Caenorhabditis elegans: one gene and its partners. The protein of the gene in region 2 interacts with the protein of the main gene of each other region in a pairwise test. Each region holds a gene or a part of one and is shown on either strand. Other genes may lie near its edges.

Region 1 (10,462 bases), on a different chromosome or scaffold from region 2:
AACAGTACTCGGTCTCGACACGGCAATTTTTGATAAATGAAAAAAGGTGTGCGCCTTCAAAGAGTCGATTTGTTAAAATGTTAGTGTTTTTTCGCAAAACAATGTGAAAAATCGATGAAAATACTACCGCCTGTTTCCAGTTACAGTACTCTTTACAGGTGCACGCCTTTTCGCAATCCACGTGGTGTCAGAGTGTCTCATTTTGTCTTGATCTACGTAGATCTACAAAAAATGCGGGAAGTTGAGACGCAGAGTTCTCAACTGATTTTGCATGGTTAAGAACGTGCTGACGTCACATTTTTTCGGGCGAAAAATTCCCCCGTATTTTTTGTAGATCAAACCGTAATTAACACATTGGCGCAAAAATCGCAAAATTTCCAGCTCTTCGCCCTATCCGGCACCAAATACGAGGATATCCGCATTGAGCATGCAGACTGGCCAGCTCAAAAACCCAAAATGCCCTTTGGCCAAATGCCCGTGCTCGAGCTCAGTTCGGGACTCCAAATCCCACAATCCATGGCGATCGCCAGGTACCTCGCCAAAAAATTCGGCTATGCCGGAAAAACCGACGAGGAGGCAGCGCTCGCCGACGCCCTCATCGATCAGTTCAAGGATTTCTACGCGGAGATCAAGCCATACTATTACGCGAAAATCGGCGTTCTTCAGAATGACACCGAAGAGGAGAAGAAGAAGACGCTGATTCCAGCTAGAGACAAGTTCCTGACGATTATCGGGAAGTTCCTGAAGCTTAGCATCTCCGGATTCTTGTTCTCCGGCGGACTTACCTATGCTGATTTGATGATTTGTGATAATATGAGAACCCTAATCGCGTGGTGGCCGGAATACTTGAACGAGTACCCAGACATCAAGGCCTGGTACCAGAAAGTCGATGGAATCCCGGAGATTCGCAAGCATCTTGAATCGAGCCCGGATAAGGGATTCTAATCATTTTCTGAATATTCTGATTTTTTCGCTTTGGCCAATGGAGCAAATAAATTTGTGTGTACTTTTCCTTCCCATCAGACATAAATCGGAAAGACAAACATATTTTAAACTGTTCGAAAAGCATCAAAAACCACATTTCTTGTTAATTTTTTGTCGCACGCCGTCTTTCTGAAAAAATATGCTCAATATGATTTTTTCCGGCAAATCGGCAAATTACCGGAATTTAAATTTACGGCAAATCGGCAAATTGGTATCCGGCAAACGGCAAACCGGAAATATTATATTCCGACAATTTGCCAATTCACCGGAAACTTCAATTCCCGCACTGTGCCGGTTTGCTGAAAATAATCAATTTCGGAAATTTTCCTATTTGCCGGAAATATTCAATTCCGGCAATTTGCCGATTTGCCGGAAATTTTCAATTCCGGCAATTTGCCGATGTTCCGGAAATATTTACCGTATTTCTTCTATTAATATGGCTGCAATACTATTTTTCGATGGCCTTACCGCTTGCAATACTAATAGGGAGTGCAAGACTAATAGGGAGTGCAATATTAATTTTCAGAACATTTTTCTGACTTTGAGCTTACAATTTTTTGCTGAAAAACTAGTTTCTTATGTGAAAATTCAGAAAATTTGATTGTAATTGCAACAAAAAGGTACAATAACTTCAATTTCATAGAAATTTTACCAATAATTGTTGCAAAATAGGCAACAAATGTTGTTTAAATCTCAAAATTAGTGAGGTGGGTTTGTACCAAAAAAAAGTAGGCAAACCCTCATTAACTAATAGTCTCATTTACCAAATCACTCGTTTACGTAAGTGGCTCATTTACTTCGACGTCTATTTTACTAGCAATTTCACTTTCTCTCGTTTACTGAAAAAGAGTTCATTTACTTCAAGGTCTAATTTACTCATTTTTTACTCTCAGTCATTTACTAAGAAATAGTTCATTTACTTTGAACTCAGATTTACTAACTTGCTGACATTTTCTAATTTACTACTGTTATGGTATATTTTTACATTTATGCAGTTTCAACATATGATGTTTCTTAGAGATTTCATTTAAAAAATACCGTGCGATATCCTAAAATGAATTCGTTTTTTGAACATGGTAGTTCTACTGTACCAAAATTTTTTACTTAATATTGTTTTCAGAACAAACTAGAAAAACAACGACATTCGCACGTTTTTTTGGCAAACACTCTTTGACTACCTTCTCTTTGACTACCTTTTGCTCTTTGACTACCTTTCGGCTCTTTGACTACCTTTTGCTCTTTGACTACCTTTCGGCTCTTTGACTACCTTTTGCTCTTTGACTACCTTAGATCTTTGACTACCTTTCGGCTCTTTGACTACCTTTTGCTCATTGACTACCTTAGATCTTTGACTACCTTTCGGCTCTTTGACTACCTTTTGCTCATTGACTACCTTTGCTCATTGACTACCTTTATCTAATTTTTCAGAATTTTCAGTTTTTTTCGCTGAAAAATCAGAATTTTCAATAACATGTTACTTTTTGATGTCTAAGAAGGTCGTGCACTTTCTCATTTCCTGAAATTCCGGAAAAAATGGAGATGAGATCTGATGTATAAATGCTCTTTGACTACCTTCAAATGATCTTTGACTACCTCTATCTAATAAAATTTTCCGAAATTTTTTTTGAAAACTTTTCAAAATTTGATCAGAAAAATGCAATGTTTGTAGTTTTTTCTAGTTTGAATGTTCTGCACACGATTGCAGACGAAAACCTGAGGTTTAGTAGAACACCTAAGCTCAAAAAACGTACTCACTTCGGATGCTGATATCTCCGTGGAAAATTTTTTTATGATTTTATGATATATAAAGTGATCAACTACAAAGTTGTTTATCTTAATATAAAGTACAACTTTGTAGTTAATTGTTTTTTATCAAAAAACTTGTTGGTCGAGATAAAGTTGTGTAAAGTTCGGCACCTTCATGCTTGTATTTTCTTCTTCTTTTTCTGTTCATATCTCATCCAACCAATTTTTTGATAAAAAACGATTAACTGCAAAATTGTACTTTATATTAAGATAAACAACTTTGTTGTTGATCACTTTGTCATAAAAAATTATTACACGGAGTTATCAGCATCCGAAGTGAGTGCTTTTTTTGAATTTTGAGGTTCTACTATACCTCAGGTTTTAGTCTGAATTCGCGTTCAGAACATTTAAACTAGATAAACAACAAACATTGCATTTTTCTATAACATCTGATCAAATTTTGAAAAGTTTTCAAAAAAAGTTTTCAAAAAAAAATTTAGAAAATTTTTGTAAGGGGTACCCTTTGGATTTTTTTTCATAAATCGAAAAAAAAACATTGAAACCTAAAAAAACCAAATGTTTTTGACACTATCGCCAACAACATTTCAGTTGGACACATTTTATTGCAAAATCTCATTGCCAACTATCCTATGCTGACACCTTTGAAATATGCTTATGCTGACGTTTTGAATATGCTTATGCTGACGTTTTGAATATGCTTATGCTGACGTGCGCTTATACTGACAAGAGCTCTCACGAGAATTTCGTGATCCAAAAAACACATTGAAAGCTTATATCAGGACACCTGACGATGTAAAAGAAAACTGAACCTATCCAGATTCGAACCAGCAATGACTGTATCTGAAGACCGTGCGCTTAACCACTACACCAAAAGGGCGAGAGGTACGCGCGTTGACCTGTCTATATATATATTTTTTATCGTAAGTTTGATTTTAACATTGTTCTCTCTGGTGCTACTGGCACTGCTCCACCTTTATTTCTTTGAAGTCACACAGTAGTAAAAGAGCTATGTTGGTAAACGGTAGTAAAAGAGATTCCGTAGTAAAAGAGCCGATTGTAGTAAAAGATCTAGATGTGGAATTCGTAGTAAAAGAGATTCCGTAGTAAAAGAGATCTTGTAGTAAAAGAGATGCGCAGTAAAAGATCAAGTAGTAAAACAGTATTTGCCTGCAGCAAGTGCATCTTGTCCCACACGTTTTTTTTTAATTTTCCAATAATCCACATTAATTGTAATCAATGTTGCAATCTGAAAAGTGAAAATCAGCTAAATCAGAAAATAGGAAACAACTTACGTTTTGAGTTTAAATATTTAAAAATAAGTGAAAGAAGTGTACAGAGAAAACGCAAAGAAATTAAAATTTAATACGAACGCGCTGGAGCGCAGTTACATCGACCTTGAAAAGTGCCATTGTTTGGTGAGCCTGGATAATATCTGAAAAATACTGCATTTAAGATTTAAAAAATACTGCATTTAAGACAGCATTTAAGATTCGGTGAGCCTACCTCTGGGGCTTGTTTTAATACAACGTTCCCTTGAACATTCTCATACTTCGTAACAACATTTCTACCAGTTTCCGTTAATATATCGAGAAGGTGCATAGTTTTTGAATGCTTATTGAAGACTTTACACATGGATTTAATATACCATGTGCCCGCTTCTTCGTCTCGATAAGACGTAAACCCGTCCGTGGTGGAAAACGAGATGATGACGTCGGCGTTCAATGAAGTGAAGGTTCCCGGCTGAAATGCGAAAAATATTAAATCGATTTCTCCTTTAAACAAACCATTATACGTGACATCATTAAATTCCAAAATTTCGAGATTGGAGCACATTTGTCTTCCAAAGCTGGCAGTCCGTCAACGGGAACACCCATGTTCAATTTTCCCGAAAAAAGTTGGTTATTCGAAAAATAGAAAACCGAAAAACAAACCTCCGCGACATGCTGACACGGCAACCCATTTGGGCTTGAGAAGAAGATTTTGATGATACGCTAAATATGTGGATACCTCCATTACATTGACAGGCATGTCATCAATTCCAAAGACACTTCCAGCTCCATCACCATGACTTAATAGGAAGAGTATGATCGAATCGGTATGTGCCATCTCCGCGAATTCCTTGATAGCTTCAAGCATGCTCTGAAAACACAACCCTCAAATAGAGCTTAATAGTTTCACCTTACTTCAGCTTCAAGATTCCGTTTGCAAATTACTGTGTACTGAAGCTTTTGGAACAACTTGGTTAGATTTACTTCGTCTTGTTTCGTTCCGACTCTTCTCTCCATATTCTTGAAGTTCTCGTTACTTAATATGAGGACGGTCCCTCTCGGATTTGAATTCATCTCATAACAATACTTGTGTTTATGGTTCGATTTCTTGGCGTCCGTTCTCGGCATTCGACTCTGAGAGTCATACTCCTCCAGTGAATACGAGCAGTCTGAAAGCAGTTATTTCTTATTATAGATTCAAAAACTATAAATTAGTCGGGCTTGCTGATAGTACAGGAGGACCATAGGTTCTTATTTCCCGCCCATTGTGTAAACGGGTCTCTTGAGCATTAGTTTGAGCAAATGAGCTCCGCCCCTATGGTTAGCGTCGTTGGCTAGTGAAAGCACCTAGGCCCGCCCCTCTTTGTGTGTAGAGAATATTTCCCGTGGTTGACCACCCACATAGTTTCGTTGCGACAGCTCAAAGTTTAGAAAAATACCTTTTTGAGCCGCATCGTGATGGGACACTCGGACACCACGTGGGGTCTTAGCAGAAAACATGCATTTTTCCAAAGCTTTGAGCCATAATAATTTTTAAAAGAAATTTTCAGGACGTCTCATTACGAATTTGGTAGTTTAGGGCCATTTTGGATCTAAAAAAGCTACGACTCAAATTTCGCTGCACCACCTGTTAGCTGCTGATGCCTACATGCTTAAAAGTGAGTACTTTTTCTAATGTTTTTTCTATGGGCACTACAATTTTTGTCCTGAAATCCAAACCGCTTGCAGATGAGCTAGAAAAAGGAGATTTAGACGTTTTTATAAACAAGAGCTGTTTAGAATACATTAGTCTCACAATGCTGTCCTATATCTTGGTGAGCTTATTCTAAAAATAAATTAAAATGCCAAGCCTGAGCCGAGTTTTATGCACTAAAAAAGCCTGGTTTCATTTGTCCCAATCGTTTTCCTATTATTTTTCTTTCTAAAAGCCAATCACTTTTTGGAATTAATGACCTTCTGAATTCTAAGGAAACCCAATAGATGGAAATATGAGAATCGAAATTTAGTGAGAAAGTATCTTGCTTCGATATCTATGATTCTATTAAAAATTTCTTCTAGTTTTTTCGCAAAGTTATTGTTGACTTACCATGGCGGGTTTCAGCTGGGTCATCTAGTTTGGTGGGCTTATCAAGTATCGGTGGTTTCATACTTGAACCCAGACTCGATTGTACATCTAGAAATTCAACTGGAGATGGCTCTTGTATATTTGGATCCTTATTTTCAGTCTGAAATGAATACATATTGTGGTGAAACTACAGAGAAAATTCGGAATATCATGAGAGAACATCACTTTGATCTCGCTTCTCGTCTCCGGAGTCTTTTAAATCAATGTATCATAACATTGGCAGAGAGCGAGAAGTCAAAAGAGGAGAGAAGGAAACCGCAGAGACTTCAGAAGACTTTTAAACATTTTAGAGAGTACTTCGAGAAGTATTTACAGACCCAATACTTCAAAATCAAAAAGTGAATATGAAATGTGCAAACAAACCCTATGATAAGTAACAGGGGGTGTGGATATCCAATGATATGTGAATCCAGAACGATGAGTACCACTTAAGGTCAGAGAGTCGGAAGAGTATGAGATCAATCTTGAGTAGCAGTCTAGTGAAATTGTCGCTTTCGATGTGAACCTGAAAATACTTTAGTACATTTATACTCTTAAATAATACAACATAAATTTGATTAATGATTGTTTTTTAAAACAAATTGGCCATAAGTTTTGTGTTGCAAAATTAAAGTTCAAAATTGACAATTTTATTGGCACGTCGATTTCCAAAAAGTGAAGACCACTTTCTGCATTATGTTGCAATTAAAGTTGGAAACATTTCAAAAGTATTTCGAAAAATATTTGGCAAGTGAATCTGGTGACTCATCTTTGTTCTGAATCAGGGGTGTGCGGCAAATTTGCCGAACTTGCCGAATTTGCCGAGCACGGCAAATTTTGAGATTTGCCGCACACCCCTGTTCTGAATAATTCTTTTAAATACTAACCGGTTCCAGAAATCCACAGAGTCTATTCGAATTCCTGCACCATAGATCATTCTTATCATAGTTTCCTCGTCGAACTCGCATGTTTGAATTGCATTGGGAAGGAGTGGTTGGAACTTTTTCTTCACCGTTTCAATGCAGAGCTCAGATTTAATGCGTCGTTGGAAAACTGCATATATTTCCTTTTGGGAGAAAGGTTCTTTTCTTTTTTCTACTTGTTTTGTTTTGTCTTTAAGGAATTTCAGAAATCGTTCCATTTCAAAATCAATCAAAAATTCATCATTTTCTCCAAGAATTGGCTCTTCTGTATAGGAGCCACTTCTGCATATTTCGAATGTTGACTCGATTTCGATCTGGAAAAATAGAATATGATTTTTCAAAAGGCAAAACTTCATCTTTACAGCTACTTCACATCTATGTGGCCGTGAAAATGAAAAAACTCGGCCATCCACATTAAAATGTGTTCTACCAAAATCTTATTAAGATTATTTCGGCGAGTTTCACATAGATCTGTGATTAAAAAACCGATATAAACTTCTGACCGAGTTTCATTTCTTCTAGGCCAAGTAACTGTGGAGCATCATCGCGAAACTCACTAACCGTATTAAAATCTTCAGTAGATATTGTTGTTGATGAAGACATAGAAGAAGTCGTTTGAAAATTATTGAAATCTTCGACCAAATCATCGTCGAATTGTGATTTACAATTATCTTCTATCGTTTTCAGGACCTGGAAAAACAGAATAAGATTTTTCAAAAGGTAAAACTTTATCTTTATAGCTACTTCACATCTACGTGGCCGTGAAAATGAAAAAACTCGGCCATCCACATCAAAATGTGTTCTACCAAAATCTTATTAAGATTATTCCGGCGAGTTTCACATATATCTGTGCTTTAAAAAAAACGCGATATAAACTTCAGACCGAGTTTTATTTTTCAACACCAAGTAACTGTGGAGCATCATCGCAATACTCACTAACCATGTTTAAATCTCCAGTGGATTTTGATGCTGATAAAGAGATAGAAGAAATTTTTTGTGGTTATTGAAATCATTGACCATATCGTCGTCGAAATGTGATTTTGAATAATCATCTATACTTTTCAGGATCTGGAAAAACAAAATATGACTTTTCAAAAGACAAAACTCTATGTATCTTCACACAAAAACCGAAATCATCGCAAAACTAACTTACCATTTCTTTTTGAATTTTATCATCAGCCAATCTCACTTTCATCTCATCAGCCTCAGATCTCATCTCATCAATTTCATCAGCCAATATCACTAAACTTCGATCCAATTCTGCCTTTACATATTCTTCATCGTCACATAAGAATTCACTATCAAACGTCGACCAGTTGTCCATCTGATTCTCCAATCCCGTTAAACTCCGATCCATTTCCGCCTTTACATCGTCTTCATCGTCGTTCATCTTTCAAAATTTGCAGCGAACAAAACAGCAATTTTAAATACTAGAGAATAAATGATTTAATTTGTAAATTGAACTTCCATGAACTCAAATGTGTTTACACGTTTTTGGCAATATTTTGAAACTCCTTGCAGTTTTAATGATTTTAAAAATATAAAAATTCTCGATATTGGATTTCTTCAAATCAACGAAAAAAAACTTACCCTTCGTGATCAGATTCAGAGCTGTCATGAAGATTGAGATCAACTTCTTGAGTTTCATCAGCAAGTTTCGGAGTTTCAGCCTTGTGTTAACGGACATAAGCCGGTGCCACAGCTTATGGTTAAACATCATGCAAAAACACTTTGATTGTGTGCTAAAGCATTTATTGAGTCGTTGCTGTGCCAGACGACGAGAGCCTTACTTTCGTCCGGCGCCAGCAGGCAAGGTCTTTCTCGACTGAGGATGTTATTCTCTAGTCGGCTTATATACTCGTGAGGGCGTGACGCTCCCTGCTCAGAGACCGCGTGGGCTTGGCCTTCATTCCGAGATGAAAAACTTTTAGGGTGACAAGGTATTTTTGGGGACAAAGTATCCAAAGTGATATGGTATCCAGTCGACAAAGTGCCATTTGTCTCTGACCGGATCTTCGGTGACAAACTTTTTCAACTAGTTTTTTATATATATTTCTCGATCGATTTTTGTTTTTTTTTCACTGGAATAAGTTTTTAAATGCAATTTTCCATGGATTTCCGGCCTTGACTACTCACAATTGAATGTATGAACAATGATCTTTTGGGAAAATGCTGTAAAACGTCCAACTAACTTGGAATATCGTAAGATTCTTCCTTATAATCTGATCCTCAAGCTCCGAAGGATCACAGGGGGTACCTCCTGGTGATCTGATCCTTCAGCTTCAAAGGATCATAAGGGTACCTCCTGGTGATCTGATCCTTCAGCTCCGAAGGATCAGAAGGGTACCTCCTGGTGATCTGATCATTCAGCTCCGAAGGATAAGAAGAGTACCTCCTGGTAATCTGATCATTCAGCTCCGAAGGATAAGAAGGGTACCTCCTGGTGATCTGATCCTTCAGCTTCAAAGGATAAGAAGGGTACCTCCTGGTGATCTGATCATTCAGCTCCGAAGGATAAGAAGGGTACCTCCTGGTGATCTGATCATTCAGCTCCGAAGGATAAGAAGAGTACCTCCTGGTAATCTGATCATTCAGCTCCGAAGGATAAGAAGGGTACCTCCTGGTGATCTGATCCTTCAGCTTCAAAGGATAAGAAGGGTACCTCCTGGTGATCTGATCATTCAGCTCCGAAGGATAAGAAGAGTACCTCCTGGTAATCTGATCATTCAGCTCCGAAGGATAAGAAGGGTACCTCCTGGTGATCTGATCCTTCAGCTCCGAAGGATAAGAAGGGTACCTCCTGGTGATCTGATCCTTCAGCTTCAAAGGATAAGAAGGGTACCTCCTGGTGATCTGATCATTCAGCTCCGAAGGATAAGAAGAGTACCTCCTGGTAATCTGATCATTCAGCTCCGAAGGATAAGAAGGGTACCTCCTGGTGATCTGATCCTTCAGCTCCGAAGGATAAGAAGAGTACCTCCTGGTAATCTGATCATTCAGCTCCGAAGGATAAGAAGGGTACCTCCTGGTGATCTGATCCTTCAGCTCCGAAGGATCAGAAGGGTACCTCCTGGTGATCTGATCATTCAGCTCCGAAGGATAAGAAGAGTACCTCCTGGTAATCTGATCATTCAGCTCCGAAGGATAAGAAGGGTACCTCCTGGTGATCTGATCCTTCAGCTTCAAAGGATAAGAAGGGTACCTCCTGGTGATCTGATCATTCAGCTCCGAAGGATAAGAAGAGTACCTCCTGGTAATCTGATCATTCAGCTCCGAAGGATAAGAAGGGTACCTCCTGGTGATCTGATCCTTCAGCTCCGAAGGATCAGAAGGGTACCTCCTGGTGATCTGATCATTCAGCTCCGAAGGATAAGAAGAGTACCTCCTGGTAATCTGATCATTCAGCTCCGAAGGAT
Region 2 (8,135 bases):
AATGAAAGTTTTTATAATTTCAGAAAGCAAAAGCTTCTGCTTTTGTTCTCATTGGGATCCCTAGTGCTCTTCACTTTGGGAATTGGACTAGTTCAACCAGTAACTCCGTATTGTATAGTCTACGTGCCAGGTTGGTTTTTTAATGCGAAAATAATCACAACAAAGAAAAATTGCAGAAGGCAATAAAACATGCCAAACTATGTTAGCCCCGGCTGGAAAAATCATTCGAGGTGGAGCTCTTGGAATGCTCAAAGAGACACTTGTTGGTGGATCAACTAGACCTGCCAGGCAGAGGAGGCAAACTCAGAGTCGTAAGATTAATTCAGAGATAAGATTCAAAATAAATTATTTTAATTTCAGCGCTCGTGGAAAAAATTATCGATTTGAGCTCATTTGATAGTGAAGAAGATACAGTTGCTGGAATTGCACCGGAGTATATCACAAGGGATAGGGTGAGATTTCATGAAATTGCTCAGGTTGTGCATAAAATAAATCAGACTATCATTATTAAAAACTAATTTTAAAATTTCAATTTTAAAAGCAAAACACATAAATTGTTCGTCACTGTGTTGAAAGTTTTACTGATAAAATATAAATTTATGGCCCTGTTTCAGGTTTGCAACTACAACGAAGACAACTATGGAATCCTTGTCTCACCTCCTCACTCAACTCGTGTCTACCGTCAACCAGCAGTTGAACAAGCTTTCATGCTTCTTCTCATTCTTATCTGCCTTTGTGAATTCTTCTCAGCTCCTGCTTTACCTCTAGCAGACGCAGCAACTCTACACTCGGTACGGGATAATCCAGCCGAATTCGGAAAGATTCGATTGATGGCATCAGTTGGTTGGGGATTCGCTATGTTCATTATGGGAATAGCACTCGATTATTCGGATACATTCCGAAATCATCCATGTCCTGCTGAAAATACAACAGAGAAAAATTATACGTTATGTTTCGTAATGTGTGTCATATTTATGTTGGCTGCCATGGGATTGGCCAGTAAATTCAAGTTTGATGATGATGTTCCCGCACCCGGAGAGGTTCATGGATTGGTTATGGATACGAGAGAAGCTGAAGTTTCACATGTTGTTGCTGAGAAAGCAAGGGCGAGAATCACGCAGGTATGATGATTGAATAAAAAAAAAAGTAGTACTATAATTTATCAATTTTACATCTTGTTCAAGGTACTTACTTTGAACAAATCTCGATTTTTCCTTAAAAATTCGAATTTTGCAGTCGGAAGGTGGTGGTGGAAGTGAAAATAGTCTACTGCTTGCAATGAAGGCTCTTGCAAGTATGCATATTCTTCTATTCTTCGTATCAGTCGTTGTGATGGGCGGTGGAGCTGGTTTGGTGTTCAGTTTCCTTTACTGGCATCTTCAGGACATTGGAGGATCACCGGTGCTTTTTGGAATTCTATCTGTGGTCAATCACGCATCCGAGATTATCACATATTTCTATGTTTTCAAACTGATTAATAAGGTAAGTTTTTTTTTCGCTTTTCGGCCCAAAATTATTTTCCGGGGACTTTTCGCAAAAATGACAATTGTAAAGAATAAAAGTAACTCGAGTGTACGGTAACTCGAAGGTTTCTCTCGTACATACAAAGAATCAAAGTTATAATGTGGGTTTTAAAAATAACCCACACTTCGCAAGAACATATAATGTATAGAAGAGAAACAAGACGTTTACAATTTCCAGTATGGACATGTCCGCGTCATGTACCTGTGTCTGGCTGTCAATTTCTTCCGTTTCATGGCACTCTCAATTCTTGATAATCCATGGATGGTCCTTCCACTTCAGATCTTGCAGGGTGAGAAAATTTTTAGATTTATCAAGTTTTAGACACGTTTTAAAATTTTAGTGATGACCTGAAACATTAAAATCCAATAAAAACATGAAAAAATTAAGCTTGGAATTTGTCTCAAAACTTCCGACATATTAACAAAAAACCTTTAACATTTTGATTGTTTGCTGACTATGAGAAATGAAATTTCAAATCAAATCCCAATTTTGGTCCTCGTGCTATGCACGTGGAATCCGGATCCACGCGTGGAGTCAGATTGTCTCATTTCGGTTTGATCTACATTAAATGCGGGAGAAGAGACGCAGACAGCTCATTTGATTTCGCATGGTTAAGAACGTGCGGACGTCACAATTTTCTGGAACGATATTGCCGCATTTTTCGTAGATCAAACCGCAATGAGACAGCCTGACACCACGTGCTATATAAGACCCTGGTGCACTTTTTTGAATAATTTCAACGTTTAAGATAAAAGATCTAATAAACTTCAAGTAAAGGCGAAGGTATTTAAAAATTATTATGTTTTCAGGAGCTTGCCTCGCCACTGTCTGGTCTTGCGCATCATCGTATATTTCGCTTGTTGCTCCACCACACGCCAAACAACATGCTCAATATGCTCTTCAAGTAGGGTATCACGGAATTGGAAAAGGTCTCGGATCAATAATTGGTGGATCCGTGATCTCGATCATTGGAACACGAACAACTTTTGTGATTTATGGATTGATTTGTCTTGCGACATGTGCTGGAAGTTTTGGTCTGAATAAGCTGTTCAAGTATGAAGGAATCAAGTATGGAGCTGGGAATTTCGAAGAAGAAGATATGGATATTATGGGTAAGTTGAACTTTTTCTGTTGCCCAGGCGAGAAATTTTGCGCCAGAAATACGGTGACCGGTCTCGGCACGACAAGTGTTTTGTTAAATGCGAACGGATGTATGCCTTTAAAAAGTACAGTAACTTCAAACTTTCGTTGCTGCGCCGATTTTTTCAAATTCCTCAAACAATATTATATTAGTTAGTTAAAAAGTGAAACAATTAAAACACACATTTCTTAACTAATCATTAAAAAATCGATAAAATTCCCACATCAACACAAGTTTGAAAGTACAGTACTCTTTAAAGGCGCACATCTTTGCACATTTAACAAATATTTGTCGTGTCGAGACCGGATCCCGTATTTTTGGCTCAAAAATCGCAAAATTTCGCGTCTGGGTGATGATTATTTATATTTTAGCACCACAAGGAGTCCCGATGGCTCGGGATGGAAAAATCACAGATGCTTTCAATGCAACTACCGTAGTCAATGCAAACTATGGTGCAATTGCTCAAGAAGATCCAACACAGGATGCTTATGATAGATATGTATCCACGACACGTTAGATCGAAGATGCTTAGGCTGTATTTGAAAAATAACAAAAAAGCAATACAACAAAATCCACGACAACCAATACAAAATCGCCTTAGATCTCACCTAGTTTTACTTATAAAAAAGCAATAAGTCATGATTTCTATTTATATTTAACTTATTTTTTGTCACTTTGAATTTGAATAAAAACTGTTTTTCAATTGTAAAATTATTTCCGAACGTCATTTATCAATGATAATGGGCATAATAATGGTAACAAAACAAAGATGGATTATTAAAAGAGATAAAATCAACAATTTCAACAAAACAAAACGAGAGAACACAACTTGCATATGATTTATGCCTCTGTTGCCTTTGCCAACTTGGCCTTCTTCTTCAATTTCAAAGCGTCGTTGCGATTGCGTTTGAACGTGGTCTTCATACTGTGGTACACTCGTTGGTGCTTCTTGGAAATCATCAATTCGCGCATCTTCAACTCCTGTCCCTTCTCGACAGTCTCGTGGAACTTCTCTTTGCTCTTCTTGTGCATTTGACCAACAGCAATGTGAATACCCTTTGGTTTTTCTGGTTTCACCTCCTTTCTTCGCATTGGCAACTCGTCCATCGTCTTCGGAATTGCTGCTTCGAGATCAGACACGTCTGAACAATATTTTATTAAAGGACGTGAATTTAATATCTCGTTCCTTCAGATCAGATTGAAAAGATAGAATACTACACAAAAGTAAAAACAAAACACACCTTTGCCCATGCTTCTGAGTTCTTCCAATCTTTCGAACGGAATGTAGTCTCCAGCCTTCTCAGATGTAAATGGTGAGAAATGTGGCGGAAGAGCTACTCCTGGCATGTATCTTTCCGTAGGCAGCTTCCTGCGAGCATTCAGACAATCGAACACCCACTGTGGCTGTACATAAAGTCTATTCACCTCCAGCTTGTCCATTGGCCGATCGACAACGTGGTGACTGATATTTTTACTGTCGGCCTTGAGATCTGTAGGGCCTCCTTCCCATCCAACAATTCCACCTCCATTACGAATAATAAAAGTGAGTGCTTCTTTTGGGCACTCTCGATTCAAGTAGAAAACGCAACCTTTGAACATAGTCTTGATGCTTTTTGCTTCTCTGACTTTTTGCGCGAGTGCATCAGAGTCTTCACCAAGAAGGTCCAACGGCTCATCGTCTTCAGCCTGCTCAACATCCTTTCTCTTAGCCAATGGTTTCGCCAAACTGTACACCTTTTCTTTGTATTCTTCAGTCTCCATTTCATCAGTTTTCACGACTTGCCCGATCTGTGGTGGGTAGAAGAGTCCGATGTCTTGATAGAGCTTGAAATTGACAAACCCCAACATGGCAATGTAAAACTCGACGAAAGTCACGAGGACTGTGAAATCAACATCGGTGACATGTGGAAGACCACGCTCGTGTGGAACAACCCAAGTGATTTTCTCTCCATGTACCTCCGCTTGATAGTAAATTCCCTTGATCGAGATGAAGGTATTGCGAAGAGATTGCGATTCAATCACATAGTGCATGAACTCCGCAGTGAGTTTTCGGCAACTGTCAATCATTCCTTCTTTGAGAACACGAGTATGTGGAAGCATAGCGAATGTGAAGCAAAGGGACAAGGCGTCATCCATATCTCTGAGAGCTGATCCAAATGTTGGGAAGCGTTCCTTGACGATAGTGTCCAGACTATAGACTGGCTTGTTTTCGTACAACTTCTTGAGTTTATCCTCTTCCTTCTTTGCTTTCAAGTGATTCAATTTACGCAGGAACACCTAAAAACATTCAAAGTTTATTTTGTTGAACAAAGATAAACTTGCCTTATAATCTCTGAACTTATTGATGATGGGTTCGTGGGCGAGAAAATTGATGTCTTTGCGATAATAGAACACCTTATTTGCAGTTGAACCCTTGTTTGCTTGCTTCTTGTGGGCCGGTTCGTGTGGGTAGATTCCCTGAAAAATTTGAATTCGATGACTAATTTAAAAATTAATGTACTAACCTTAATAATACAAAGTCGGCGGAAGTCCTTCAGTGTAAGTTGAAGCTTCTTCAATGCTTGTTTCCGTGACATATATGCCACGGCAGCTCCGGCTGTGTACTTTTGTTTGAATCGGTCCTTCATTCTGCTGAAAATACGAAATAATAAGACGAAGCTTCCGACGGAATTAACGAGACTATCAAGACACCAGGAAAACTAGTTAGCTGAATATTACTGAATTGCTAAGATAAATTATAAATAGTTGATTTTCTATGTAAATATGAGTGATGCGCGATAAAAAATGGTGAAAACGACCACATTTGGCGAAAAATTGGTGTCGAAGTGAAGAGGGCACAGAAAAGTAGGAGGAGATTCGAAGAGACAGAGAACGCAACTGCCGCACGGTTTCTATTTCGCTGAGTATCGACGCTATACAGCATGTGCGATACGGAGCTTATTTCAACACTGAAAAATATTCCTTCTCCCGACTTTATCTTTCTTCTAACGTTGTTCACTAATCTCCATTTCAAAAGTGTTAGTGCCGTTTCAATTGCAGTTTTTCTTACATGTTTCACGATTAAGTAAAACGTATTGAACCGAACTCTGTTGATTTTTAATTCTTGATATTTACTTTTAATGCGTTGCAATTCATTTTATCGTTTCCAGGTAATCCAGGGAGATCATGAAGCTGATCGAGTCTAACGACACTGTTGTGTTCCCAGAGGGAGTCACCTTCACCGTCAAGAACCGCATCGTCCATGTCACCGGACCACGCGGAACCATCCGCAAGGATTTCCGTCACTTGCACATGGAGATGGAGCGTATCGGAAAGAGCACCCTCCGCGTCCGCAAGTGGTTCGGAGTTCGTAAGGAGCTTGCCGCTATCCGCACTGTCTGCTCCCACATCAAGAACATGATCAAGGGAGTCACCGTCGGATTCCGCTACAAGATGCGTTCCGTATATGCCCATTTCCCCATCAACGTTACCCTTCAAGATGGAAACAGAACTGTTGAGGTAAGTGAAATTATTCATGTGTTTCATAATTCAAACTCACACATTATTCAGATCCGTAACTTCTTGGGAGAGAAGATCGTTCGTCGTGTCCCACTTCCAGAGGGAGTCATCGCCACCATCTCCACCGCCCAAAAGGACGAGATCGTAGTCGAGGGAAATGATGTCCAATTCGTATCTCAAGCCGGTAAGAAAACTTATTTTGTTTATTTCACATTTAAATTATTATTTCTGCAGCTGCCCGTATCCAACAATCCACCGCCGTTAAGGAGAAGGATATCCGTAAATTCCTCGACGGAATCTACGTTTCGGAGAAGACCACCATCGTCCCAACTGACTAATTTCTAGTCGCTTTTTGTTAATGAATTTGTTATCAAAATCTGAAGTTTTTATTTGAATTAGCGAACAACGAATCTGGTCAAAGGTGCTAATGGAGTGCATTACTAGAGAAAGCGACGGTGATTGTATTATCTGGACTATTTGTACAAATTTTGTGGTTCTGTAGATAATATTGGGTTTTTTCCAAAATTCGGGAGAAACTTTCCATGGCCATAGCGCTGTTTGAAAATGTATCGTAATTTGGCAAGATTTTGGTAGGTCTTAAAGGCGCATAGACTTATTCAGATGGGTATCGGCACACAAAAAGTTTACGGTAGCCTTTTTTTTGCGGCTGCTTCCTTGTTTCGGTTCCATGCAAAAAATAAAAACAATGTAATTTCATTGAAACGTACAAGGAAAATATGTAAACAAGGAAGCAGTCACAAAAATTAAACAAAAGATAATACCATAACTATGTTGCGTGGTGAGACCCATTTGAATAAATCCATGCGCCTTTAAGAGCACATGTCAAAAATTAATCAACTCAATAGCAAGGATGAAAATTTACTACAAACTATTTTGAAATTTGAAGATCTGGCAATAAAAAAATATTTTTAAAAAAGTATTTCTGTGGTGATGTCACTGAGGAGATGCTGAAATGATGAAATCTGTAAAATATATTAGAAAATGTTTAAGTTACGGTCAAAAATTCCAATAACTCAGTTTTCCCCTAGCAAGTTTTTGAAGACGACCAAGAAAATTGTGTTTCTTAATAATACAATCATGTTTTTTTAAACGATTGTAGTGGCTCAAACCTGAAACACTTCTCGAAATTTCTCAGAAAGTCCAAATTCAGTGACCAAGAACTAACTGCACAATTTGAAAAAAATTACAATCCGACATATGTATATATATATATATATATATATATCGTATTTCCTCTGTTAGTTAGGCGCCTCTATTAGTTTTGCATCAAAAATCACCAATCGAAAATTAGTTTTGCACCCTCTATTAGTTTCGCACCTCTAATAGTTTTGCTCCCCTTCATTTGTTCCCTATTTTTAGGAATTCAAAAATTTGCATTATAAAGTCGTTCTAAAAATTAGGAAAACTTTTACAGACTTGGTATAACAAGTCAAAACTGGCAAAATATGAGTACAATTCGGACAATTTTTGCATATCAGTCTTAAAATTCGTCCATTTTAGTTTATAGTTGTTATTGAAATTGATGATATTATGCTTGGACAGGAACGATACAGACGTAGGTCGCTTTACAGCTTTTCCCAAATTTAGAACACTTATTCAGATCTTTCAAACTCCTGATGTTTGAGCTCAAGTAAACTGTGGGACATTGCACTATTCTAGCATACTCACAACCATCCCTTTTCATTATTCTTTTCTTTCAATATTCTCTTCTATCTTTCTCCAACAACGACCCAAATGTGCCAGCACCTAGCCCTTTTCACTCCACCCATCTACACACTATTCTCGCCTTCCTTCCTTCTGAATATCGTGTGTATGTGTGTGTTGTGTTCGCCTCTTTTGACTCTCTCTGTCTCTCTTCCTACCATCCCAAGCAGATCACCGACAAGGCACTATGCTATCTTTAACCTGCCCTCCAGCAATTCAATTGTCTCTCCTTCTTGTCACCCGCCTG
Region 3 (11,738 bases), on a different chromosome or scaffold from region 2:
CATTCGTACCAGCACTATGGAATAAGATCAATGACATCACCGGAGAGCTTCACTACGATATGAACGAGTTCCGTGATCTACACAACGAGGTTTGGGCAAATATGCGTGGCGAGACCTTTGGAGAGTCGGTTGTACCATTCGCCAGAAAGAAGAGACAGACAACTCGCCCGGGAGAATGCGGTACGTTTTTTAAGAGTGGGATATTTGAATTTTCCGTGAAAAAACTGGGAATCTCAAAACATTCCGATTTTTTGTGGATTTTTCGCTGGAAAATCGCATTTATTGGGGATTTTCTTTCGAAAGAACTGATTTTTTGCTTAATTTTGAACTATTTTCAGCCAAAAAATCTGGCTCAATTTCGGAAATGTCAAAAATTTTATTTTTTTTGGAGATTTTTATCGAATTTCTTATAAAAAATCCGTTGTTTTTCCACACATTTTGGGATTTTTTTTCAAAAAAACGGACTCGAGTTTTCCGATTTCTTTTTTTGAAAAACGCGTGGCTCAGTGGCTAAAAGGTTAAGCTATCACGCACACGCCCGTGGTTCGACCCACAGTATAGGCAAAATTCTTTTTACTTTTTTTCTAAGGTGAAGATTTCAATTTTTGACGGATTTTTTTGCCAGAAAACCCAAATTTTGGGGACTTTCAAAAATCAAGTTTTCCACGGAAATGATTTTTTTTTTATTTTTAAGTGATATTTCTGTTTGAAACTCACCTTTTCCAGCGTTTTCCTACAAAAATTTGAATTTTCCGTGAAAAATCCATTAATTTGACACCGAAATTAGCTCATTTTCGATTTTTTCTTAAAGCGTGGCTCAGTCGGTTAGCGGTTTGCCTGAGGCTCAAAAGACCGCAGTTCGACCCACGGGTCTGGCAAATAGATGTTTTATTATGTTATATAGACACTAAACTGCTCAAAATTTCCAGTTTGCAACTCGAACAGCGCTTGCCCACCAGGAGAAGCCGGTCCACAAGGAATCCCAGGACACGACGGTACCCCAGGACTCGCCGGAGACGCCGGAGCTCCAGGACTTCCAGGAAACTACCCATCAATCAATATGGATGCTCATCAACAATGCCGTATGTGCCCACCAGGAGCTCCAGGATTCCCAGGACCAGCCGGGCCGCCAGGAGCTCCAGGAGACAAAGGAAACGACGGTGCTCCAGGGCTCCGCGGTCCAGACGGACACCCAGGTCATCCAGGAAATCCAGGATATGGTGGAGAGCCAGGAGCTCCAGGAAACAACGGAGAGCCGGGAGACAAGGGACGTGATGGATCTCACGGAACCAAGGGAGCACCAGGACCACAAGGACCTTCTGGACCCGTTGGACAGCCAGGATTCCCAGGACAACCTGGAAATGATGGAAATAGCGGAGTTCCAGGGATCCAAGGATCCTCTGGAGGCCCTGGAGAGGATGGAGCTCCAGGAGCACCAGGATTCGATGGACAACAGGGACCGAGTGGAACACCTGGAGAGGATGCCAACTACTGCAAGTGCCCACCAAGAAGCAAACTTTCCAGATAATTACTATCGAAATAAAGATTTTTCAATAAGAAATTCAGATTCTGCGTAAAAAACTGCGTTTTTCGAGATCCCCCAGAAGAAAAAAAAATTTAAGCGGAGCTTAATTTCCAGTAATTTTTACAAAAATAAAAAATTTTTGAAAAAATTTAGTCTGAAAATCAATGCCTTTCAAATTTGATTTTCGAGCGATTTCAAAATTTTCAGAAGAAAAATTGAAAATTTGGGCATAGCTTCCGCATCTCCGGTGACAAATGTGCTCTATTGCACCGAATTGTTGGTTGGAATACGGTATTTATTGCATATTTCAGCCGAGAATACCACTATTCAAACCATCAATTCGGATAGAGAAACACACAAGTCACATACTATATAGGGAAATTCAGTTCAGTTGCCGAGGTGGCGAGCCAAAATTTATAGCATTCCTCGGCAAAAACTGGAATTCCGGAAAAAACCGGAAAAGGCTAAAAAATCTTCGAATTTTTAGCAGGGATTTGAGCAAAATTTGAAAAATCCAAGAAAATTAATTTTTTGCATCAAAAAATTGAAAAATTCAAAAAGTGTGCAATTGCCGAGTTGCCGTACCCAAATTTTTAGCATTTCTCGGCAACTGGGATGAAATTGCTAAAGTTCCGAGGAAAATCCATCTATAAATATGTTTAAAGTGCAATAAAAATAATTAATAAAACGCGCAATTTCGCTGCGAGACCCAAAACTACATATTCTGTACAAGAATCGGGTTCATTTGAAATTTTGAAAAAAAAAATTGAGAAGATATGAGGATCGACGTGAAAAATAATTGAAAATCTCGGCAACAATTTTAGGCACTCGTAGCCGTTGCCGCTGCTGAAACTCGGCACAGATCGGCAATCAGACGGGAGAGTTGAAGTTTCGAAGTGAGTCCCTGCACGATACGCATATGGCACATGGCGATTTGCTGAAAAATTGTTTCGTTGTTTTTTTTTAATGGTTTTGGGCTAAAAAATTAAAATTTGGGCATAGCTTCCGCATCTCCAGTGACAAATGTGCTCTATTGCACAAATTGTTGGTTGGAATACGGTATTTATTGCATATTTCAGCCGAGAATACCACTATTCAAACCATCAATTCGGATAGAGAAACACACAAGTCACAGACAATATACCGGGAAATTCAATTCAGTTGCCAATTTGCCGGAAATTTCAATTTCGGCAATTTACCGATTATCCGGAAATTTTTATTTCCGGTAACTTGCCGATCGGCCGGATATTTTCAATACCGGCAACTTGCCGATTTGCCGGAAATTTTGATTTTTGGCAATTTTCCGTTTTGCTGGAAATTTCAATTCCGGCAATTTGCCGATTTGCCGGAAATTTTTGAATTCCGCTATTTTCCCATTTTGCCTCAAAATTCAATTCCGGCAATGTGGCGGAAATTTTATTTTTTATTTTTGGCAGTTTGCCAATTGGACGAAAATTTTCAATTCCACCATTTTGCCGTTTTGCCGGAAATTTCAATTCCGACAAATTGCCGATTTGCCGGAAACTTTCGATTCCGGCAAATTGCCGAGTTGCCGCAAATTTTCATTTCCGGCAATTTTACGGTTGGCCGGAAATTTCAATTGGAAATTCAGTTCAGTTGCCGAGTTGCCGGACTCAATTTCCGGTAACCAAAAACTAAAATTCGGCAATTTCCGGCAACTAGTCTTCGAAATTCACGATTTTCGCCAATTTTAGGCTACCAATCCCTAAAATCCGGTGGTTTTCGGCAATTTTCAGCCACAAAGGCCGAAATTTAGATATTCCGATGATCTAACAACGAAATTTCGCGTTTTTCGGCAAAACAAAGCTCCAAAAAACGCGGATTTTTGACAATTTTCAGAACACCCCGGGCGGCTTTTAGCCGCTCATTTTGGCTCATTTTCCACCCATTTTCTCACCCGAATATACTCCATTCTCAGCTGTTCGGACACATTTTTCGACAGCTCGACAGTCTTTACCACACGGAACAACGTTGATACAATATCGTCTGAGGAGAAGCCAAGCCGATGAAACTCGTGAATAATCTTGGATGCCTCGAAGAATTTGCGATCCGTACAGTAATGGAGCATTTTGATCATAAGGTCCGGGTGTGGCTCATCACAGACTTTCAGCACATTTTCCTTGTTCACAAGCTCGTAAGCGTTCACTGTTGCCTGGAAAATCGGAACATTTTACTTTTTTAGCCGGAAAATTGCATATTTTACATAGTTTTTAATTGAAAATAAGACATTCTAAATTTTCTACAAGTTTTCAGCCCAAAAATGGAAAATTTGTTTTGAAACGCAATTTTTGTTTAAATTTTCAGCAGATTTTTACTAAAAAAAAATTGGGCATAGCTTCCGCATCTCCAGTGACAAATGTGCTCTATTGCACAAATTGTTGGTTGGAATACGGTATTTATTGCATATTTCAGCCGAGAATACCACTATTCAAACCATCAATTCGGATAGAGAAACACACAAGTCACAGACAATATATAGGGAAATTTAGTTCAGTTACCGAGGTGCCGAGCCAAAATTTATAGCATTCCTCGGCAAAAACTAGAAAAGGCTAAAAAATCTTCGAATTTTTAGCAGGGATTTGAGCAAAATTTGAAAAATCCAAGAAAATTAATTTTTTGCATCAAAAATTGAAAAATTCAAAAAGTGTGCAATTGCCGAGTTGCCGTACCCAAATTTTTAGCATTTCTCGGCAACTGGGATGAAATTGCTAAAGTTCCGAGGAAAATCCATCTATAAATATGTTTAAAGTGCAATAAAAATAATTAATAAAACGCGCAATTTCGCTGCGAGACCCAAAACTACATATTCTGTACAAGAATCGGGTTCATTTGAAAAAAAAATTTGAAAAAAAAACATTGAGAAGATATGAGGATCGACGTGAAAAATAATTGAAAATCTCGGCAAAGCTCGTAAGCGTTCACTGTTGCCTGGAAAATCGGAACATTTTACTTTTTTTTAGCCGGAAAATTGCATATTTTACATAGTTTTTACTTGAAAATAAGACTTTTTCTAAATTTTCTACAAGTTTTCAGCCCAAAAATGGAAAATTTGTTTTGAAACGCAATTTTTGTTTAAATTTTCAGATTTTTACTAAAAAAAATTGAAAAATTGGGCATAGCTTCCGCATCTCCAGTGACAAATGTGCTCTATTGCACCGAATTGTTGGTTGGAATACGGTATTTATTGCATATTTCAGCCGAGAATACCACTATTCAAACCATCAATTCGGATAGAGAAACACACAAGTCACATTTTCATGAAATTTCCACTTAATTATACTGGAAATCGGCATTTTTGCAATTTTTGTGGGGAAAAAATTGTTAAAATACCCCTTTTTTAGATGTCCTTTATCGAAAAAAAAAATTAACTGAAAAATGTAAAAAATTTCAATATTTTGATGAAATTTCATGATTTTCACTGAAAAAATGAGAAAATTTTAATGAAAATTTCAATTTTAGGAAAAATTCTAAGTTTTTTTGTTGCAAAATGTAAAAAACTGGTGAAATCAACAAAAAAAAATGTTTAAATAAAAAAATGGTACGAAATCCAATTTTCATGAAACTTTTTGAGATTTTCAAGGAAAAAAGAACATTCAGCGAAATTTTATATTTTTAGACCAATTTTTCAAAATTTTGAAAATAAAATTATGGAGTTCGGAAGGATGGCCAAGTTTTCCTGGAAATCTTTTTTGGAAATCTTTTTTGGAAATTTTTTTAAAGTTTTTTTTTTTTTTGGAATTATCTGGAATTTTTTGGGATTGTTGTGAAATTTTTAGGATTTTTTTTTGAAATTTTTAAAAAGTTTCCTAAAATTTTTTGAATTTTTTTTTTTGGATTTTATTTTGGAATTTTTGAGATTAATAACATTTTTAGATTTTCACTGAAGAAAATTTGGAAAAGGTCAATTTTTAGTGAAAAAAAATCCTTTAAAAATATGATTTTTTTCACCTTTTTTACGGAAAACGCCAAATTCCAACTAAATTAGCTAAAATTTCCGGTTTTTCACTACTTTTAAGCACATACATTGTAAAAATTCTGGTCTAGAAAATTGTGAATTTTCGCAATTTTTTCCAGCGTTTTCAGCTCAAAATTCAGCCTTTTCCCGGATTTTCTACCTGTAAATTGTTCAACGCCTGTCGCATATCACCCTGTGCAGTGAACAGAATCGCTTCAAGACCCCCGTCGTCATAGTTGACCTTCTCGGCTTTTGCAACCTCCTTGACACGTGTCAACAGCTGTACGGGGCTCAATTTTGTGTAGCGGAGCAGGGCACAACGGGATTGAATGGGCTCTGAAAGGGGCAAAAATCGATCGATTTTTTGGGGAGTTTCCAGGCCGAGATCTGTATTAGTGTGGACGGCAAGTGCCGTTCGGAAATTTTTTGTCAGCAAATTCGGCAAATCGGAAAATCGCCGGTTTGCCAATTTGCCAGAAATTTCAATTCCGGCAATTTGCCAATTTGCCAGAAATTTCAATTCCGGCAATTTGCCAATTTGCCAGAAATTTTAATTCCGGCAATATGTCGATTTGCCAGAAATTTCAATTCCGGCAATTTGCCAATTTGCCAGAAATTACAATTCCGGCAATTTGTCAATTTGCCAGAAATTTCGATTCCGGCAATTTGCCAATTTGCCAGAAATTTCAATTCCGGCAATTTGCCGATTTGCTAGGAATTTGAATTCCGGCAATTTGTCGATTTGCTAGAAATTTTCAAAACCAGCAATATGCCAATTTGCCGGAAATTTCAATTCCGGCAATTCGCCAGAAATTTCAATTCCGGCAATATGCCGATTTGCCGGTAAAATCGTTTGCCGTCCCTAATATGTACCAATAATCTTCTCGGATTGATTGCAGGCCAACGCAAATCTTGTCGTCTTTGTGTACATCTCCATTGTGCGGCGGAGAGCCTGAAAATTTGGTTTTTTTTTTTTGGAAATTCAATGCAAAATTCGTATTGAGCTCGTTGAGAGCTTTCATTTAAGTATAATCATGACTGGGTTCCGAAAATTTCGAAAAAATTGGAAATTTTTTAATCATCGTGGCGGGGGACTAATTTTTCGAGTTTAGGAGGTTTTTTCGGATGAAAATTGCATTTTTTGGGGGGATTTTCATTGGAAAAAATCGAATTCCTCGCAGAAAAACTGGTAGATTGACATCCAAACTGGCTCAATTTCAAAAAAAAAAACACGAAAATTTTGATTAATTATCGTGTAAATTTTCCTGAAAAAATAAGTGAAATTGTGTGTGCAAAGTTACCATTTTTCTCGGTTTTTTTTGTGGAAAAAACGGGCAATTTTCTGATATTTGACATTTTCTCTTTAAAAAAATCGCAAATTGTCTCGGAAAACGCTAGAAATTCCGGATTTTTGACCATTTAATTTATGGCATTTTTCATTTAAAAAAAATTCGAAATTTGTACCAATTTCATTGCAAAAAGCTCAAAAATTGCGGAACTTTGATATTTTCGTCAGAAAATTCCGATTTTATCTAGATTTTGTCAAAAAAAAACTGAAAAATCTACTAAAAACACTCACTTTTCGGCTTTTTTTACTTAAAAAAATCCCGCCTACGTTTAAGTCTAAGCCTGAGCCTAAGCCTAGGCCTAGGCCTAAACCTAATCCAAAGTCAAGGCCTGAGCCTAAGCTAAAGCCTGAGCCTAAGCCTAAAAGCCTAAGCCTAAAACTTTCAGATTTATTTCCAAAATTATCGCAGCCTAGTCATGTTCATACTTAAATCAAAGCTCTCGTTGAGCTGAATTCAAATTTCCAAGTTTTTCGGCAAAATTCCGCACCTGCTGTGCACCATCGGTCATCGAATCGGCCTCGTCCAGTATGATAATCTTGTGACGGCCTTCTGGAAGTGTCACCTTCGTCTGGGCGAACGTTTTGATACGATGACGGACCACATCGATTCCTCTGGAAATATTGGCAGTTTTTTGAGATTTTTTTTTTGAGAAAAATTCAATTTTTTCAAAGTTTTTAGCGAAAAAGTCAATTTTTTTGCAATTTTTCCCAGTTATTCAGGGTTTTTTCTCACAAACCTCTCGTCCGACGCATTCAACTCGAGCACCGCTTCCTTAACCTTATCGCCGAGCAATTCTCGAGCCAACGCCCACACTGATGTCGTTTTTCCGCAGCCTGGGGGACCCTGAACGGAAAAATTCGATTTTTCACTTCACATTTTGACTTTTAAAATGAATTTTTCAACAATCTTCTCACCGACAAAACAATATTCGGCACATTTCCCTCGTGTCCGATCACTTTGAGCCGCTCGACAATGTTCTCGTTGCCGACAATATCGGCGAGCACTTTTGGACGATATTTCTCCACCCATGGCGCTAATTGTTGCTTTTCCGACTTTGACATAGCTGGAAATATTGAAAATTTGATAAGAATTCGATACAAAACTCGAAAAACGTGACGAAAATTCATGGAATGACAAAGAAAATCAGTTTGGCGCGCTTAAAATTCAAAAAACAAATATTATCCGAGAGGAGTACACCGAGCGGGGACAAGGTTTCCTCCTCGGCCGCGGCCACTTTTGCCAAAAAAAACAACAGATATTCATGAAATTGAGCCAGAATCGCTATTTTTGAACGAAATTTCGAATTTTTTTCACAGAAATAGTAAAATTGATAAAATGGGAAGTCGGAAATTACAAAAAATTGTAAATACGAGCTGTTTTTTCAGCGATTTCTAGCAAGAATTAAATGGAATCAGAAGAATTCTGGGCAGAAGAGCATTTTTGCAGATAGAAATATGTTAAATATAATACTATCAGTGTATCTGACCGGTTTAAATAAAGAAAATATGTACGACTGTGGCGGCTTCGGGCTGATTCTCACTTCTCGTGGCAAGTGGATGCACTTCATGGACTTTTAACAGCTACAACTTTTTTCGCGTTGGAGATAGAGCATATGGGCTCGAGCTCGAGCATTTGGGCTCGAGATTGAGCATTTAGGCTCAAGCTCGAGCATCTGGGCTCGAGCTCTTACTTACTTTACTTTGATACTTTGATGTCCGTTGGGTTCAAGTTGCGAAGAGGATAAACTCATTCCATTTTTTTTCACGGTCAGTACGTGCGATGGACAGCCATGGAACCTTCGGAGTGAGCATTCCAAGTCTTCTTCTTCCGACGACGACTTGTCCTGAGTCAGGACTCCTGACATCGAAAAAAGTTTTTTTGAAATAAATAAATAAATAAATAAATAATTAATAATTAATAATTAATAATTAATCATTACCTATATATAAAAAAATAGTGTCCGTTTGTTAACAAGTGACGTCATAGCTTACAAAGGCAAGGTGTTTTCGGCTGTTGGAGGGATATTAGTTTGTGGTTAGTAGAGGAATATGGGCGGGGTACTGTATTAGTACTGTAGGAGTACTGTATTAGTACTGTAGGATCACTGTAGTTTATGAAAAATTGTGTTTTTGTCTTTTGAAGAGATATAGGTTTGGGGTTAGAGGTGGGATATGGTCGGGGTACTGTAGTAGTACTGTAGAGGTACTGTAGGAGTACTGTAGGATTACTGTAGTTTATGAAAAATTGTGTTTTTGTCTTTTGAAGAGATATAGGTTTGCGGTTAGTAGTGGAATATGGTCGGGGTACTGTAATAGTACTGTAGGAGTACTGTAGGAGTACGGTAGGATTACGGTAGTTTATGAAAAATTGACTTTCCGTCTTTGGAAGGGAAATTGGAAACTTCTGGAAAATTCTGAAATGTTCCAGAACCTTCTGGGAATTTCTGGAAAATTCTAGAATGTTCCAGAACCTTCTGGAAAATTCTGAAAAGCTTTAGAACCTTCTGGAAAATTCTAGAAAATTCTGGAATGTTCCAGAACCTTCTGGAAAATTCGAAAAAATTCTGGATTGTTCTAGAACCTTCTGGAAAATTAAAAAAATGTTGCTGCGAGATCTTCGTGGCGAGAGCCATCGTGGCGAGACCCATCGTGGCGAGACCCACCGTGGTGAGACCCATCGTGGAAAGACCCATCGTGGTGAGACCCATCGTGGCGAGACCCACCGTGGTGAGACCCATCGTGGAAAGACCCATCGTGGTGAGACCCATCGTGGCGAGACCCATCGTGGCGAGACCCATCGTGGTGAGACCCATCGTGGTGAGACCATCGTGGTGAGACTCATCGTGGTGAGACCCGTCGTGGTGAGACCCACCGTGGTAAGACCCAAAATTTTGGCGGGAAATTTAAATTTTCTGAGAAAAATATTTTGGCGGGAAATTTAAATTTTCTGTGAAAAATATTTTGGCGGGAAATTCAAATTTTCTGAGAAAAATATTTTGGAGGGAAATTTAAATTTTCAGTGAAAAAATTTTGGCGGGAAATTCAAATTTTCAGTGAAAAAATTTTGGCGGGAAATTCAAATTTTCAGTGAAAAAATTTTGGCGGGAAATTCAAATTTTCAGTGAAAAAATTTTGGCGGGAAATTCAAATTTTCAGTGAAAAAATTTTGGCGGGAAATTCAAATTTTCAGTGAAAAAATTTTGGCGGGAAATTCAAATTTTCAGTGAAAAAATTTTGGCGGGAAATTCAAATTTTCAGTGAAAAAATTTTGGCGGGAAATTCAAATTTTCAGTGAAAAAATTTTGGCGGGAAATTCAAATTTTCAGTGAAAAAATTTTGGCGGGAAATTCAAATTTTCAGTGAAAAAATTTTGGCGGGAAATTCAAATTTTCAGTGAAAAAATTTTGGCGGGAAATTCAAATTTTCAGTGAAAAAATTTTGGCGGGAAATTCAAATTTTCAGTGAAAAAATTTTGGCGGGAAATTCAAATTTTCAGTGAAAAAATTTTGGCGGGAAATTCAAATTTTCAGTGAAAAAATTTTGGCGGGAAATTCAAATTTTCAGTGAGAAAAATTTTGGCGGGAAATCCAAATTTTTGTTCCTTTCATATATATTATTCTTGCGGTTATTGCAATATATATGATAAGTATAAACAAAGGAATAACGATATGTAGCAAAGTTTCCACCTGAAATCATTTTCAAATTTAATTTAAGTATCGATTTTGTAATAATCACAAACTGAATTCCAGCTGGCGTTGCTACTGTTTTCATGATTCCGCGATTGTCTGCTTCACAGACTAATTGATAATTTTTAGAAGTTTTATCATATCCATATTGACAATTTGAAGACATTAATGCATATTCCACACCAAAAGCAAATATGTAAATACTTGCAAGCCAAATATATATTGCCTTACTAGAATTATAAATTTTTATATTTGAAATCAATTATTAAAAAAAACTAACGATTCAAAAAATTGGTTTGTCCAGTTACGTAGAAAAAATACAAAAGCACGTTGAATGGAAATCACCAAATTCGAAAAAAGTATAGAATAATGACAAAAATCAATAAGATAAGAAAAAAAAATAGCTCTAGAAAAACACATCAATTAAATTGCAAAAACCAAAGAATACTTACGTGATTGCGTTACTTCTTTTGAAAATAAAGATAGGGCAGCTGGAATGTTTATGAATAGATTCGAAGCAGAAATTATAAAAGCTGATGTTGTTAATTGTGTCAAAAACCAAAAGAATCTCATCTAAATGTTGAATAAAAACTATTATTAGTAATTTCAACTGTATCATATTCAGATTTTCTTCAGTGTTAGATAACTCATGTTTATCGAACTGAACCTGAAGAAATCACTTACCGATTTGAAATTTCTCCATAAAAGTATTGATAAAACTAAAAAAGACAGTGTGAGAATTGTTGCTACTACTGTGGAGACAACAAATAATGATACCACTGAATAGTAAAGCCCGTGTTTTTCAGAGTCCGGTATTTCCAAAAGAAGCTGAAAAATGTTTCAAAGTGTTTACATGTGTCCAGGCCGTTTCAAATTTTGAATTTATTCAGAAAAATTGCAGTTTTTATATGAACAGATAATTCAATTTTTTTATAATTTTTCCATATGTACATATCAATATTAAAAAACGATATTTTACCTCACGTATTGGGCCTTCAACTACTGCAATTGACATATCGAACGTTTTTACGTTGCCTTCTGAATTTAAAACAAATTAGTCACTTTTGGAGAGCGAAGGAGTTTTCTTCTGAAGCTGGGATTGAAAATGAAGGACAGCTGAAATTGTTAGAAGAGCGGCAATTCACTCTGTCAACTTCGCAATAATTTGGCTATAGCGCGTGGTTTTCTCAAAATTCATTGAAA

What was found.
Region 1: the proteins of lpd-7 (region 2) and csp-1 interact in a two-hybrid assay, tested with the Caenorhabditis elegans proteins (one large-scale study listed by BioGRID).
Region 3: the proteins of lpd-7 (region 2) and rfc-2 interact in a two-hybrid assay, tested with the Caenorhabditis elegans proteins (one large-scale study listed by BioGRID).

What each region holds. Positions count from the first base shown.
Region 1 is NC_003280.10:13,598,731-13,609,192, reverse strand, and holds csp-1 (Caspase A subunit p16), read right to left. Parts: upstream 7,990-10,462; coding exon 7,987-7,989; intron 7,737-7,986; coding exon 7,608-7,736; intron 7,361-7,607; coding exon 7,011-7,360; intron 6,650-7,010; coding exon 6,508-6,649; intron 6,245-6,507; coding exon 6,106-6,244; intron 5,189-6,105; coding exon 4,935-5,188; intron 4,891-4,934; coding exon 4,684-4,890; intron 4,639-4,683; coding exon of another isoform or gene 4,638-4,638; coding exon 4,536-4,637; intron 4,492-4,535; coding exon 4,255-4,491; intron 4,184-4,254; coding exon 4,136-4,183; downstream 1-4,135. Other genes in the region: gst-20 (glutathione transferase), read left to right, coding at 382-945. UniProt on the Caenorhabditis elegans protein: Cysteine protease which, in vitro, cleaves itself and caspase ced-3 into their mature active forms. Also cleaves, in vitro, inactive caspase csp-2 isoform b.
Region 2 is NC_003281.10:7,570,511-7,578,645, reverse strand, and holds lpd-7 (Pescadillo homolog), read right to left. Parts: upstream 5,297-8,135; 5' UTR 5,293-5,296; coding exon 5,170-5,292; intron 5,123-5,169; coding exon 4,988-5,122; intron 4,943-4,987; coding exon 3,907-4,942; intron 3,808-3,906; coding exon 3,506-3,807; 3' UTR 3,383-3,505; downstream 1-3,382. Other genes in the region: mfsd-6 (Major facilitator superfamily associated domain-containing protein), read left to right, coding at 24-130, 177-311, 361-452, 615-1,121, 1,237-1,482, 1,702-1,813, 2,334-2,636, 3,037-3,182; rpl-9 (Large ribosomal subunit protein uL6), read left to right, coding at 5,831-6,163, 6,215-6,347, 6,398-6,501. UniProt on the Caenorhabditis elegans protein: Required for maturation of ribosomal RNAs and formation of the large ribosomal subunit.
Region 3 is NC_003282.8:1,343,491-1,355,228, reverse strand, and holds rfc-2 (Replication factor C subunit 2), read right to left. Parts: upstream 7,916-11,738; 5' UTR 7,912-7,915; coding exon 7,765-7,911; intron 7,694-7,764; coding exon 7,587-7,693; intron 7,462-7,586; coding exon 7,338-7,461; intron 6,454-7,337; coding exon 6,375-6,453; intron 5,838-6,374; coding exon 5,662-5,837; intron 3,699-5,661; coding exon 3,444-3,698; intron 2,463-3,443; coding exon 2,346-2,462; 3' UTR 2,252-2,345; downstream 1-2,251. Other genes in the region: col-104 (Nematode cuticle collagen N-terminal domain-containing protein), read left to right, coding at 1-180, 930-1,528; F58F6.5 (G_PROTEIN_RECEP_F1_2 domain-containing protein), read right to left, coding at 10,877-10,941, 10,988-11,108, 11,220-11,363, 11,515-11,550.